Oryctolagus cuniculus: one gene and its partners. The protein of the gene in region 1 interacts with the protein of each later gene in a biochemical or structural test. Links are inferred from orthologs where the notes say so. Each region holds a gene or a part of one and is shown in the gene's direction. Other genes may lie near its edges.

Region 1 (3,500 bases):
CTGATTAAATCTGGCACTTAGTTTGCTCCTTGCCTGTGTCAGTGCAGCTGAATATGGCTGGAGACAGCAGGTGCTCACTCTCTTCAATTATGTATTCATTGCCACCGGACACTTATATTTGTAGTTCATCACCTCTCTCCTAGATGACTTAATTTTAAAAAAAATTTATTTATTTATTTGAAAGATTTACAGAGAAGCAGAGAGAGAGAGAAATGCAAGGGCTGATCCAGTCAGGAGCCAGGAGCTTTTCCCGGGTTTCCCACATTGATACAGGGGCCTAATTTCTTGGACCATCTTCCACTGCTCTCTTAGGTGTATTAGCAGAGAGCTGGATCGGAAGTGGAGCCACCAGGACTTGAGCCGGCTCCCAGATTGGATGCTGCCACTGCAGGTGTGGCTTGACCTGCTATGCCACAGCACTGGTCCCAGTGACTTAATCTTATGCTTTAGCTCCTCTCCTCAAATTTCAGGCACCTCCTCACCACTGCTCACTCTAAGATGACATGGACATTGTTTGCTATTTTTCTGAGAACATTGGAGTAATCAAAGGACAGTTTCCACAAGATTCTGTACTATATCTGCCTACCTGTCTGCACTTACACTCATCTACTGTAGGTTCTTTCATTACTATGGCTTCACTATCCAAGCTTGTAGCCAAAGGTGAATCTTTTTAGTTGTGCATCATACCCATCTGCCCATCCCAGTTTTCTACTGGAATCATTCCCAGAGCAAACCTAGGCTGTCTCTGCATTCTCTGAAAAAAATCTCTCTTCCCATTCTATACTGTACCCACTTCATTTGAACATTTATTCTGCTACTACCGTGGAATTATTCTTGTCAAGGTCAGCAATTATCTCTGTATTATGGTAACACAGAGTTAGACTCTAGTAAGTGATTTTTCAGTTCTCATTGTATTTGACTCTAGCATTTGACACCGTTTATTACTCTGGCTTTCCTATAGCATGTTCTTCCACTGGTTTCCAGAATCCCACTAGCCTGGTTTTTGTCTTCTATCTCTTGCCATTTGTTCCCAGTTTCCTTATTAGCTGATTATTCATGTCTTCAGTCTATAAATGTAAGAGTGTGCAGGGCTTATCTATGCATGTTTCCTTGCTCACTCCACCCAGTATCATGGCTTTAATGGCATTATCTACCATCTATTTACTGATGTTTTTCTCCATCTCCTACTGGAACTCCATACTCATACATGGAACTACTTGCTTAATACCAAACAGGAACTCAAACTTAACATTTTCCATAGTGAATTTTTTATTACTTCCTTCAAATTACTATTCCTTTTTGCTTCCCCATCTCAATCAAAAGCCTTCAGTTTTTATCCTAGATCAGGTTAAAAACTTTAAGTTATTCTAGATATTCTAATTAGATAATTTAGGCATTTAGGTTCCTTTATTCAGCTGTCCTTAAGTTCCACTTGAAATGGGTTCATTTGGGAGTAGATGTTGTAGCCCAGCAGCGCAGGCTGCCATTTGGGACATTCACATCCAATACTATAGTGCCTGGGATCAAGTCCTGACTCCCCGTCCAGTCCAGCTTCCTTAATGCACCTGGGGAATAGCAGGTAGTGGCCCAAAAACTTGGGTCCCTTGCCACACATGTGGGGGACCTGGATGGAGTTTACAGTTCCTGGCTTTGGTCAGGCCCAACCCTGGCTTTTGCAAGCATTTGGGAAATAAAATAGCAGATGGAAGATTCTGTCTCTTCACTCTCTATCTCTCTGTCTCTGGCTTTCAAATAAGTAAGTAAATATTATTAAAAAAAACAAGTTTGTTTTAAGTATCTTTATTTATCTTTATTAACTTAAAATGTCTTTATTTCTATTCATGTCCTGCTAGTTTAGAAAAGAATTTAACTTACATACTGTTTACTGAAGTGTTTGTATTATTCTCAACCTGTAGTGATAAATGTTCTGCTTTCTTAGGTTCATTCATGGATATCGCTTCTACAAATACCAGTAATAAAAGTGACACTAACGTGGAACAAGTTCCTGCCACAAATGATACTATTAAACGCCTAGAATCTAAATTGTTGAAAAATCAAGCCAAGCAACAGGTTTGTTATATTAAGAAAGTTGCATGATAACCTTATTAACATTATTTTAATTGAAGTTAATGATTTGCCATCTTCTATTATATAAATCCGAAATCTTCCTGGAACCGATGAGTTTAAGAATAAAGACAAAATGAGATTTCTCCTTCTGTTTGTTACCGAACTGTTTTTCTTTCAAATAACAGTTGTTGTCTTTGCCAACTTTGTAACTCCCTCCCTATAATGATCCCTCACTTTAATAGTTGACAGTTAAAAATGTAAAATGGTGGCCGGCACCACAGCTCACTAGGCTAATCCTCCACCTGTGGCGCCAACACACCAGGTTCTAGTCCCAGTCGGGGCACCGGATTCTGTCCCGGTTGCTCCTCTTCCAGTCCAGCTCTCTGCTGTGGCCCAGGAGTGCAGAGGAGGATGGCCCAAGTCCTTGGGCCCTGTACCCACAGGGGAGACCAGGAGGAAGCACCTGGCTCCTGGCTTCGGATCAGTGCAGTGTACCGGCTGCAGTTCACCGGCCACAGCGGCCATTGGAGGGTGAACCAACGAAAAAAGGAAGACCTTTCTCTCTGTCTGTCTCTCTCACTGTCCACTCTGCCTGTCAAAAAAAAAAAAGAACAAACTTAAAAAAAATGTAAAATGGTATAGTCTGGCAGCACTATCCAGTTAAAGGAGTTGTCCTAAATCTATGATTTTGAGCTGTTCAGATTTATTATATTTTTGCCTGTTTTGATTTGCTCTCCTTTCCCCTGCAAACTTCCCTGTTCGTTAAGAGCAGGACAAGATCTATAGGAATCCCTCTGGGCATCTTCTTCCTTCTAGGGCCCGGGATTTCTAAATCTAACAAACTTCAGTAATTCAGATTGACTTCTAATTTTAACAGAGTGAATCCGGACGTTTGAGCTTGGGAGCCTCCCGTGGAAGCAGTGTGGAAAGCTTGCCCCCAACCTCTGAGGGCAAAAGGATGAGTGCTGACATGTCTGAAATAGAAGCTAGGATTGCTGCGACCGCAGGTAAAAAGAACTGCAAGTTGAAGAGGAGCAAAAATGTAATGCTTTTTGGTGCAGTAGCTCCAGTGGTTTCATTAGGAACCTCAGCATTTTTGTATCATATTTTTTGAAAAGAAAATAGATTTATAATAGATTTTCTGAGCTTTTAGAAATAGTTCATGCATCATCTCAAATTCCATAGAAGAAAAGTATGATTTGTAAGATTATTTGAGTTATAAAATATTCCTTCCTAATTACAGATCTCATCAAACACAATTGACTGTGCTCAAACATGAGCTGAAAATCTAAGTGAGAAATTGAAATTATGCCAAACCCAGAATGTTTGGGAGGTTTTTGAATGTTCTACTAGATTTTAGAACTTAAATCAAATAACAGAAAATATTTTGTCTTGAAGTTAGTTTCTTCCAGACCCAAATGTGATTTGGCCTT
Region 2 (3,500 bases), about 58 Mb from region 1:
GAGCACAAAGGAAAGCATAATTTATTTAAAAATTAAAGATGTTTTATTTATTTATTTGAAAGGCAGAGTTACAAGAGGGAGAGGAAGAGACCTTCCATTTGCTGGTTCACGTCCCAAATGGCCACAATAGTGAGGAGTTGGGCCAGGCAGAAGCCGGTAACCCTGAGCTCCATCCAGGTCTTCCATATGGGTGGCAGGGACCCCAGTGCTTGGGTCTTCCCAAGCACTTGTCTTCCTAGGTGCATTAGCAGGGAGCTGTATAGGAAGTAGAGCAGCCAGAACACAAACTTTGATATGGGTCAACTTCCTTGTAAGCAACGGTTAACCTGCTGTGCCACAACACTGGCCCTGGAAGTGCTTTTAAAAGTTTGTTCTTGGGACCAGCATTGTGGCTCAGAGGGTTAAGCCATTACCTTCGATGCCAGCATTTCGTATGAGCACTGATTCCAGTGCCAACTGCTCTACTTCTGATCCAGCTCCCTGCTAATGTACCTGGGAAATCAGTGGAAGGTGACTCAAGTACTTGGATCCCTGTCACCCACGTAGGAGACTTGGATGAAGTTCTTGGCTCCTGGCTCCAGTCTGGCTCAGCCCAGGCTATTGTGGGCATTTGAGAGTAAACCAGCAGATGGAAGATCTCTCCCTCTCCCTCTCCCTCGCCCTCGCCCTCGCCCTCGTCCTCGCCCTCTCTGTCACTCTGCCTTTCAAATAAACTAATTTTTTAAGAAAAAAAAAAGTTTCTTCTCCTCATGTCTTCTCACGTCTGCCACAGCACACTGTTCTATGTTGATACTCCGTCTAAACAAATAAAAAAATGTAATAAGGTGGGCTGGAAAGATGGTTGAGGCCACCTCTTCTCTCTCTCTCCCTGTCCCTCACCCCCAGGCCCAGGTGGATTTAGAGAAGCAAAGGATCCTGGCTGAATTCGAGCATTTGGGGCAGGCCCTAAAGGAGGAGAAGGACTTCCTCCTGTCCCGGATCACATGGCTGGGGCTGGAGGAAGCCAAGGAGGGTAAGGTCTACAACACTGCCACCCAGGCACAACTCAACTCTCTCAGGAATCTCACGGACCGCCTGGAGGCCAAGCAACGAATGCCACCCCAACAGCTGCTGAAGGTGAGTCCCTCGGGGACAGAATCGCAGCCAGGCAGAGCCAGGCCCTAGTCTCTGGCCAGAGCACCCAGTGCCTGCCAGGATGCCGGAGACTGCTCTAGCCTAGCACTGCCCAGTAGAAACAGGTGAAGCTGATACATATACTTTAGAATCACAGCGCGAGCCACACGTGTAATTTAGAAATATAATGTGAGCTACTACATGGTATAATTTAGAAATATAATGTGAGCCATGCATGTAATTTAGAAACACATTACGGCCGGCGCCGCGGCTCAATAGGCTAATCCTCCACCTTGCGGCGCCGGCACACTGGGTTCTAGTCCCGGTCGGGGTGCCGGATTCTGTCCCAGTTGCCCCTCTTCCAGGCCAGCTCTCTGCTGTGGCCAGGGAGTGCAGTGGAGGATGGCCCAGGTGCTTGGGCCCTGCACCCCATGGGAGACCAGGATAAGTACCTGGCTCCTGCCATCGGATCAGCACGGTACGCTGGCCGCGGTGGCCATTGGAGGGTGAACCAACGGCAAAGAAAGACCTTTCTCTCTGTCTTTCTCTCTCACTGTCCACTCTGCCTGTCAAAAAAAAAAAAAAAAAAATTACAAGCCACCTGCAAGAAAACTTCAAAATGCTAAAGGGCGAGTATTTGATGCATTGGTTATGACGCCACTTGGGCCGGCACCACAGCTCACTAGGCTAATCCTCTGCCAGCGGTGCCGGCACCCCGGGTTCTAGTCCCAGGTGGGGTCCGGATTCTGTCCCAGTTGCTCCTATTCCAGTCCAGTTCTCTGCTGTGCCCTGGGAAGGCAGTGGAGGATGGCCCAAATGCTTGGGCCCTGCGCCCCCATGGGAGACCAGGAGGAAGGACCTGGCTCCTGGCTTCGGAACAGTGCAGCGCACTGGCCTCAGCACACTGGATGTAGCAGCCATTTTGGGGGTGAACCAACGCAAAAGGAAGACCTTTCTCTCTGTCTCTCTCTCTGTCTAACTCTGCCTGTCCAAAAAAAAAAAAAAAAAAAAAAAAAAGATGCCACTTGGGGCACCCATATCCCTTATGGCAGTGCCTGGTTGAAGTTCTATTTCCACTTCCCACCCAGATTCCTGCTAATGTGTATCCGGGGACCCTGGGAGGAGGCAGGTGATGGTGCAAGTAATAGGGTCTTTGCCATCCATGTGGGAGACCTGACTTCTACCTGGCTCAGCCCTGGCTGTTGTGAGCATTCTGGGAGTAAACCAGCAATGGTCTTTCTCTCTCTCTCCTTTTCAAATAGATAAAAATTATATTTTAAAAAAATTTGTGAAAAACTGAATTAAAAGATACATTAATTTGGGTGCAAAAAGTTGAAATATGAGAGGTGCTCAAAAAGTTCATTAAAAATGCATTTAATGGAGGCCGGCGCTGTGACTCACTTGGTTAATCCTCCGCCTGTGGTGTCGGCATCCCATATGGGTGCCGGGTTCTATTCCTGGTTGCTCCTCTTCCTGTCCAGCTCTCTGCTGTGGCCAGGGAGTGCAGTGGAGGATGGCCCAAGTCCTTGGGCCCTGCACCCCATGGGAGACCAGGAGAAGCACCTGGCTCCTGCCATCGGATCAGCGTGGTGCGCCGGCCACAGCGCGCCGGCTGCAGCGGCCATTGGAGGGTGAACCAATGGAAAAGGAAGACCTTTCTCTCTGTCTCTCTCTCACTGTCCACTCTGCCTGTCAAAAAAAAAAAAAAAGCATATAATGAAAACACTATTAACTGACTTCAAATTTTTTTGCCATAAAATAAAACTATATTTTAATTTTATTTTCCATGGAGCTTTAAAAAAAAGATTTATTTATTTGAAAGGCAAAGTGACAGAGAGGGTGGGAGAGGGAGAGAGAGGAGAGAGGTCTTGCATCTGTCAGTTCCCTTCCCAAATGCCCAGAATAGCCAGGGCTGGGCCAGGACAAAGCCACGAGTCAGGGACTCCGTCCTGGTGGTCCACGTGGGTGGCCGGGGTTCAAGTACTTGCGCCATCACCTGCTGTCTTCCAGGTCTAGTGGCAGAAAGCTGGATTGGAAGCACAGTAGTGGGGGCTTGACCTGGCAGTCTGATTTGAGATGTAGGCACCCCAGGTGGTCGCTTAATCTGCTGGGCCACAACACACAGCATACTCTGTAATTTAACGTTTTCCTAGTAGCCCCATTAAAAAGAAACAGGTGAAATTAATTCCAATAAAATATTTAACTTAATATATCAATCAAAATCATCAATATTTTTAAAGTAATAAAGAGATATTTCACATTCTGGAGGGGTGTCTTTTGTACTGAGTGTTTGAACTCTAGTGTAGAGTTTGCATGTCAGCACCTCTCAGCTCAGATGCTTAATTGTCCGCTGTTGAAGGAAAATGTGGTCCTACTAAGTTGAGAGA
Region 3 (3,435 bases), on another chromosome or scaffold:
TGCGTGTCTGCAGCCTGGGCCCGCGAGGAAGGCGGGAAAGACATCATTTTTTTTGCTTTCTCTGGGACTCCCCGCCCCCGCCGGTTCCCCTCTTCTCTCTTCCTCCATCTCATTGGTCATGACTTGGTCACAGGGCTACGTGGATGTGCAGGGAGGCTGGGACAGTCAGGCCCCTGCTGTCCCACAGTGCACACTGTCGTGACTTGGCTTTTTTCCCCAGATGAACTTTGGTATCTGTTCACTTTCAGCTGCCGTCCTCACGTGCGAACACACGCCCTGCGCAAGTCTCGGCTGCTTGTGCGGGGGCGCACTGTGGTCCCCTCGTTGCAACTGCGCACAGAGCCCTGTGGCTGCTGTTAGGCCGGGCACAGACCACATGAGCACCTGCTGTGGCCTTGGCCTGGCTCATTCACAGGCAGTCCGTTCCGTAGGGAGGCTGGAGCCCCAACACCGCGCCCAGAGTCTCAACAGGCATTGAAACCAAAAACCACACTCTGCAGGCTCAGATCCCACGGCGGCCGGGATCGCCATCATTTTAACCTGACATTTAAGGCCTGCTGGAAACGCTGTGATGTGAGGACAGGCGGCCCTTGCTTTCCCTCGCTTTCCCTCGCTCTGTCTCTCTTTATTTGGAAGATAGACACACACACAGACAGATGTTCCATCTGCTTGGTCATTCAACAGATGCTACCAGCCGTCGGCTGGGGCCGAGTCCCACCTGGCACTTGGGGCATCACCTGCTGCCTCCTGGGGTGTGCGTTACAGGACGCTGGAATCAGAAGCAGAGCCGGGACTTGGACCCAGGCCCTCTGATGTGGGCATCCCCGGCAGCAGCTTAACCACCACACCAGATGCGCACCCCTACAGATGGGACTCAGGATTTTAGAGGAAGATAAATTTAAAGGTTGTCCACATCCTAGGTCACGAACCCAAATGCCCTAAGCAAGCAGGCTGCAGCGGTCCCGTGAGCCTTCCAGGACACTGACTTGCCGTCTTTTCAGAGTCTGTTTTGCTTGGATTTTAAGACATCCGAGCTGCCTTTGTGGAGCCCCTGGCTCTAGATTTAGATCAGAACCATCCTGAACATTGGCACTGGATATATTGTATTTTTTAGTTTCCAAAAATTAAAGTTTATTATTTATTTTAAAACTTTTAGGGGCTGGTGCTGTGGTGTAGCAGGTAAAGCTGCTGCCTACAGTGCTGGCATCCCGTATGGGTGCCAGTTCAAGTCCCTACTGCTCTGTTTCAGATCCAGCTCTCCGCTGTGGCCTGGGAAAACAGTGGAAGACGGCCCAGGTCCTCGGGTCCCTGCACCTGCATGGGAGACCCAGAAGAAGCTTGAGGTTTCTGGCTTTGGATCGGCCCAGCTCCGGCTTTGCAGTCATTTGGGAAGTGAACCAGAGGGTGGAAGACCTCTCTCTTTGCTTCTGCCTCAGCAACTCTGACTTTGAAATAAATAAATACATCTTTTTAAAAAAGGGTATTTGAAAGAGTTGCAGGGAGAAATACAGAGAGCTTCCATTGCCTGGCTCACTCCCCCATGGCCAAAAACGCCAGCCACGTCCCAGAGACCGAAGCCAGGAACCGAGAGCTTTATCCAGGTCTCCCACGTGGGTGCAGGGGCTCGTGCACCTGGGCCATCTTCCCGCTGCTTTTCCCAGGAGCCTCAGCAGGGAGCTGCATTGCAGCCCTGTTGTGCTGGGCTGCCGGTGCTGCAGGTGGCAGCTTTACCTGCTACAGCATAGTGCCGGCCCCTTACAGCTCCACGCTTACCCTTAGGAGAAGGAATACATAAGGAACAATGGGCTGTCTGGGCTAAGACACTGTAAATTATTTCATCCTGAGAGTCGTTGCTGTGCTGGGTTCTGTGTGCTCGCTGCGAGCCTGACTCCGGGCCTGGTGGGTGTCCTTTTGACTTGCAGACACTGCGTACGCGAAGAACAAACTGAACGGGAAGTGGTACTACTTTGATGACAGCAACGTGTCCCTGGCCTCCGAAGAGCAGATCGTGGTGAGTCGGCCCTGACGCCTGCGTCTTCCTCTTGCCTTTGTGAGGTGGCAGCGGGAAGGGTGCTCCTCCGTGACCGTGTCGAGGAGGAGGGGCTGCCCTTTCTTTGGACCCCTTTCCTGAAAGAACCGTGCGGCTCTCCTCGGGCCCTGCCTTTGCCCGCTCCCCTCGCAAGGGCGCAGGGGCCCGCAGCCGGGGAAGGGCCTTCGCGGCCACCTCTGCGTCTGCAGGGCAAGGCGGCAGATTGGTGCACGACAGCCAGCCGGTAAGTGGCCTTCCCCCTTGTCTTTCAGACAAAAGCGGCGTACGTGCTGTTTTACCAGCGTCGGGATGATGAGTTCTATGAGACGCCGTCTCGGGCCAGTTTTCCTGGCTCCTCGGACGGAGGGACCAGACCGGGCAGCTCGCAGCAGGCCTCGGGGGATGAGGAGGCGTGCAGCATGGACACCAACTGATGTGGACTCTGACCCCGGAGGACATCCGGACGCCCTGGGGACTCCTGGTGTTCAGTCTAAAGACCAGATGAGAAAAGGCCCTTTTATGAGCAGAAGAAAAAAAAAGACCTTGTTTGCTCAGAAGGGCTATGTCAAGAGGCTGAATTATTTTTCCTTTTAAACGGGTGGTGAGACATCTGTAACACCCGCGGAGCCGCGCGGGTGGGGGTGCACAGGTGTGAGTGCTGGGTGCCTGCCGAGGAGAGGAGCGTGGTCAGCGGAGGCGGCCGGCGGCACAGGGTCCCTGTGCAGCTCTGGACACTGGTCCCCGGCCCGGTTGTCTGCCAGGGTCGCCCTTGCTCTGTGCGCTCAGATGGGTTGATAGTTTTCTAAACCTTAGCCACTGGAGCCCATTTCTGGTTCTCAGCCTCGAGTCATCTTGGAATTCCCAGCTCTCCTCCCTGCTAATGAAATGAAGATATCTGGTGTTGGGGCCTCTGCCTCTCAATCTCCCGTGGAGCCTGGCAGCCCTGTTGTGCGCCCCTCCCCCCACCCCCTTGATGAATTGAGACCTACGGATACTGTGTGGGCCTCTTATTAGTCGTGGAGACAACTGGGTCCCAGCCAATGGCTTCTCCTACACGTGAGGAGGGGGACCCGAGGGCCCGGACCTGCGGGTTACCCCGACCCTCCCCCTGCCCTGCCCCGCCCCGCCCCACCCCCGGCGCACGCCGCCCCTCTGGCTGCCTCCTGTGCTCGGAGCCCCTGCTACCCTTCCTGGTCACGGGGGCTGAAAGAACACAGTTGTCCGGGCTTTTTGTCTGACCTTTAACCTAAGTGGGGAGGATGTTGGGGCTTCTGATCTTGGGCACGCGCGATTGCGGTCGATCGGGTGCACGCGGTGACCGTTGGCGGGGGTGGGGTAGCCGTGTCTCCGCGCTGCTTGGTGAGGACGTGGCGCTGCGGGTCTCCCGTGGGGTAGGGGCGGGCAGC
Region 4 (3,590 bases), on another chromosome or scaffold:
AATCTGAAGCTGAGTAACCAGGACTCCAGTTGACACTCTTGTATGGGATGCAGCAAGCCGTGGCTTTAGCCCCTGGGCCACAGCACTGGCCTGGCTTCTTTCGTTTGAAAATCATGAGTACCTACTGAGAACTGCTCTGTTCTAAACAGCCCAGTGGATAGGGGTATGGTTGAGAATGAAATAAAGGAGCACAGCTTCTGTGCCCTGGGCATTGCATCCACCTTCACAGGTCAGGCTGTTGTATCAGAGCCCTGCAACACGGATGGAGGCTACACAGGGTGGAGCTGCTGCACAGTCGCATGTTCAGCTCTAGGTAACTGAAAGCTGTAGTCCTTCCTCCACGTGGAGAGAGTGTTGAAATCAAGGATTTGTCTTCCTTGTTTCCAAACATCTCTTTCTCACTCAAAACCATCAGGAAGGTTTCCCCTGGCTTAACACATCATGAACAGGTTTTACATATTGGGCTACATACCAATATTTTAAAACTGTATTGCAGGGTTTTCTTTTCTTTTCAAAAGATTTATTTATTTATTTGAGAGTCAGAGTTACAGAGAGGCAGAGGCAGAGATAGAAGCAGAGGGAGGTCTTCCATCCACTGGTTCACCCCCCAAATGGATGCAACAGCCAGAGCTGGACCGATCCAAAGCCAGGAGCTTCTTCTGGTCTCCCACGTGGGTGCAGGGACCTAAGTACTTGGGCCATCTTCTGCTGCTTTCCCAGGCTTTTAGCAGGGAGCTGGGTTGGAAGTAGAGCAGCCAGGACACGAACCAGTGCCCATATGGGATGCTGGCATTGCAGGTAGGGGCTTAGCCTACTATGCCACAGTGCTGGCCCACAGGGTTTTCTTAAAAAGAGCTGGCAATCCAGAACCCCATGCAGAATTTCAGTAATTATCCAGAGAGAAAGGGCTGGTCCTCTCGGATGAGCAGATGGGCAGATGGGCACACCAATTTGCATCTGCAGACTCTCCACACCTACTGTCATTTTTTTTTTTTTTAAGATTTATTTTATTTATTTGGAAGGCAGAGAGAGAGAGAAAGAGAGAAAGAGAAAGATCTTCCATTTGCTGGTTCACTCCCTAAATGGCTGCAATGGCCAGTTCTGGGCCAGTCCACAGCCAGGAGCCAAGAACTCCATCCTGGTTTCCCACATGTGTATCAGGGGCCCGAGTTCTTGGGCCATCCTCTGCTGCTTTTCCAGGTACATTAGCAGGGAGCTGGATCAGAAGTGGAGCGGCCAGTTTTCTAACCAGTGCTTTGATATGGGATGCCAGCATTCCAAGTGGCGGCTTAACCCCGTGTGTCACACCACCAGCCCTACACCTACCGTCTCAGCCCAAGCGCTTTGGGCTCCCGCATGTTACAGGGCTAATGCCTCATCCCTGCAAGGCCGTGTCCCCCACTTCAAATGTGCAGATCTTGTCCTTTCCTCAAAAAGCATATCAAGGCAGCAGCAAATGTTGATATCAAATGACAACATTAAAAATAAAAGCTTCTAAAGACGGGGCTGGAGAGTTTTCTCTCTGTATCATTTAGTAATCCCTGTAGCTTGGGAGGTCATCAAGTCCTGGGCAGCGTGTAGGTTTTCTCTCTTTCTTTGGTGAAGCCACTGCACAGCACTAAGGAATGTCACAGTCTGTTTCCAAGGCACAAGCCACCAGCATCAGGTTGATATTTTAAGGGTTATGATGTTGTTTGCTGCCTGTTGACAGAGCCTGGGGGAGCAGCAGGACTTGCTCATTGCATTCTTGACAGATTCTGCTGTTGCCTTAAAAAGAATGGCCGGCCTTGGGCCGCGTGTGGCGCACCCGCGTTCTGCAAAGTCACGGAGCCTTGCATGCAGAACACTTCCTGCGTGCCCTGGGTCCCAGCGCAGACTGCCCTCCAGGAGCACTGCCCCTGGGCTGGGCCCCTCCCCGGCGTGGGCTGAGAGCGGAGCAGCGTGGTTGGAAAGCACTGCTCTTTCGTTGTCCTCACGCAGACCTCTCCACTTGGTCCCCTGCAGGCTCCGCGGGAACCCTTTCTCTCCAGAGGAAATGGAGGCGCTCAGCCACAGGGACAGCAGACTCTTGCTGTGACGTCTGTGCGTTTGGCCCCCAGGAGCTGCGTCCCGTCTGGCAGCGGCCCATTCCGACTGAGCTCTGTCCTGCCCAGAAGGACAGAGCTTCCTCTGTCCTTCCTCTGGAAGAGCCGGGAGCCCAGGAGTCTTCCCCAACAGGCTTCTCCCAGGCCTAGTGTTGCCTTCGAGTGCCTCCCAAGATTCAGCCGATGGGCATACAAGAGGCACTGCAGGGTTCTGACGTGGGTCAGTGGGACGTGAGCATTAGCACAGACCCCTGCCCATTCCTCTCAGGAAGCGGGAAGAGTATTCAAGAAGCAACTTCCTGCCACGTCTCAACTCTTGGACATCCGCCCAGCCATTGTCACCTCTGGTCCTGCCACTCAGCCTGGACTGCTGCACGTGATGAGATCGAGAAGATTCCTGTCCTCAGCTGTGCTATATCACGGGTGGCACCCCCACCCCAGACCCAGCGTCCAAGGCGGGAGGGGCTACAACTGCCCCCGCTGTCTTTTCTGGTGCTGTTGGAAGGGGACCCATGACCGCCATTTGTTCCTCAAGACATTCTGGATTTGCACAAAAGATACAAGCACACTCCAGCTGAGATCACAGGGGGACTTTCCTTTCCAGTGGAATCAATTACTCCTCAGTGTGGCCTTGAGAAACAGCTCCTCATCCAAATGCACCTTTTGAAAATTAACCTGGGCCAGCATCGCAGAGCGCGCCAGGCTTCTGGTTGGTGTTTGTGTCCTGAATGTTGATGACAGGCTTCCCAGAATGCTTTGGGACACTCAGTTATGGAGTGAAGGTTTACAGGGCAAAATCGGGCCCCTCCTTGTAAGCAGACGTCTCTGGGTCTTTCAATAGGATGCCTATGAAACCTTCGTGAACCATCAGGTCCTGTGTCAAAGATGATGACGTGTGAAAACTGTTTAATATTTATAAACCACCTTGTATTCTCTCAAGTTTATACTTTTATAGAAAACATGACCATGAACTTTGTGCTATAAATAATCACAGAAAACAACTGCATCACCAAAGCTGTCTTTGTTGTGACCAAACATTTTTTAAAAAGATTTATTTATTTACTTGAAAGTCAGAGTTACACAGAGAGAGCAAACATTTTTAAATAATCATAAAACTTGTCAAATTTTAAGGCACCATTTTCGACTGGAAGGGGGAGGGAAATGTTTTCAACCGGGTGATTTATTGCTTCAGGCAGAAGCAAGTCTTAGAAATAGGCCTGGCAATCAAAACACATTTGGCTGCGGCTCTGAAGGGTCTCACCCAGCATGAAGTTCTGAGCGGTGCGGGAGCCTGGCGTGCCCAGGCAGAAAGGGTACAGCAGGTGCGCCAGAGGCCCCGTGTCTCTCTTGATTCTCTCCAAGTGGCTCCAGGAGTCTTTAACGTTAGGAGAAAGACGGGGGAGATCTGTGTACAGCTTTCTTCTACGAGCAGCCTTCTGTGTTGAATCGTTCTTCGCTGCACTTAATGAGCAAGGGCTCAGGTGGCTGCTTGCCAGAGAGAAGTCT

Evidence for each region.
Region 2: the proteins of MAP3K7 (region 1) and TRIM31 form a complex in vitro, tested with the Homo sapiens proteins (2 studies listed by BioGRID, with this or other methods). The link is inferred for Oryctolagus cuniculus from reciprocal best matches to the Homo sapiens genes MAP3K7 and TRIM31.
Region 3: of the proteins of MAP3K7 (region 1) and USP4, one has a biochemical effect on the other in vitro, tested with the Homo sapiens proteins (2 studies listed by BioGRID). The link is inferred for Oryctolagus cuniculus from reciprocal best matches to the Homo sapiens genes MAP3K7 and USP4.
Region 4: the proteins of MAP3K7 (region 1) and NOD2 form a complex in vitro, tested with the Homo sapiens proteins (2 studies listed by BioGRID). The link is inferred for Oryctolagus cuniculus from reciprocal best matches to the Homo sapiens genes MAP3K7 and NOD2.

Annotation. Positions count from the first base shown.
Region 1 is NC_091436.1:81,933,401-81,936,900, forward strand, and holds part of MAP3K7 (mitogen-activated protein kinase kinase kinase 7), read left to right. Parts: intron 1-1,939; coding exon 1,940-2,070; intron 2,071-2,944; coding exon 2,945-3,074; intron 3,075-3,500. UniProt on the Homo sapiens protein: Serine/threonine kinase which acts as an essential component of the MAP kinase signal transduction pathway. Plays an important role in the cascades of cellular responses evoked by changes in the environment.
Region 2 is NC_091436.1:140,373,303-140,376,802, forward strand, and holds part of TRIM31 (E3 ubiquitin-protein ligase TRIM31), read left to right. Parts: intron 1-885; coding exon 886-1,116; intron 1,117-3,500.
Region 3 is NC_091441.1:99,944,506-99,947,940, forward strand, and holds the end of USP4 (ubiquitin carboxyl-terminal hydrolase 4), read left to right. Parts: intron 1-1,922; coding exon 1,923-2,011; intron 2,012-2,301; coding exon 2,302-2,463; 3' UTR 2,464-2,935; downstream 2,936-3,435.
Region 4 is NC_091449.1:34,279,672-34,283,261, forward strand, and holds the end of NOD2 (nucleotide-binding oligomerization domain-containing protein 2), read left to right. Parts: intron 1-2,004; coding exon of another isoform or gene 2,005-2,077; exon of another isoform or gene 2,078-2,352; coding exon 2,353-2,464; 3' UTR 2,465-3,090; downstream 3,091-3,590. UniProt on the Homo sapiens protein: Pattern recognition receptor (PRR) that detects bacterial peptidoglycan fragments and other danger signals and plays an important role in gastrointestinal immunity.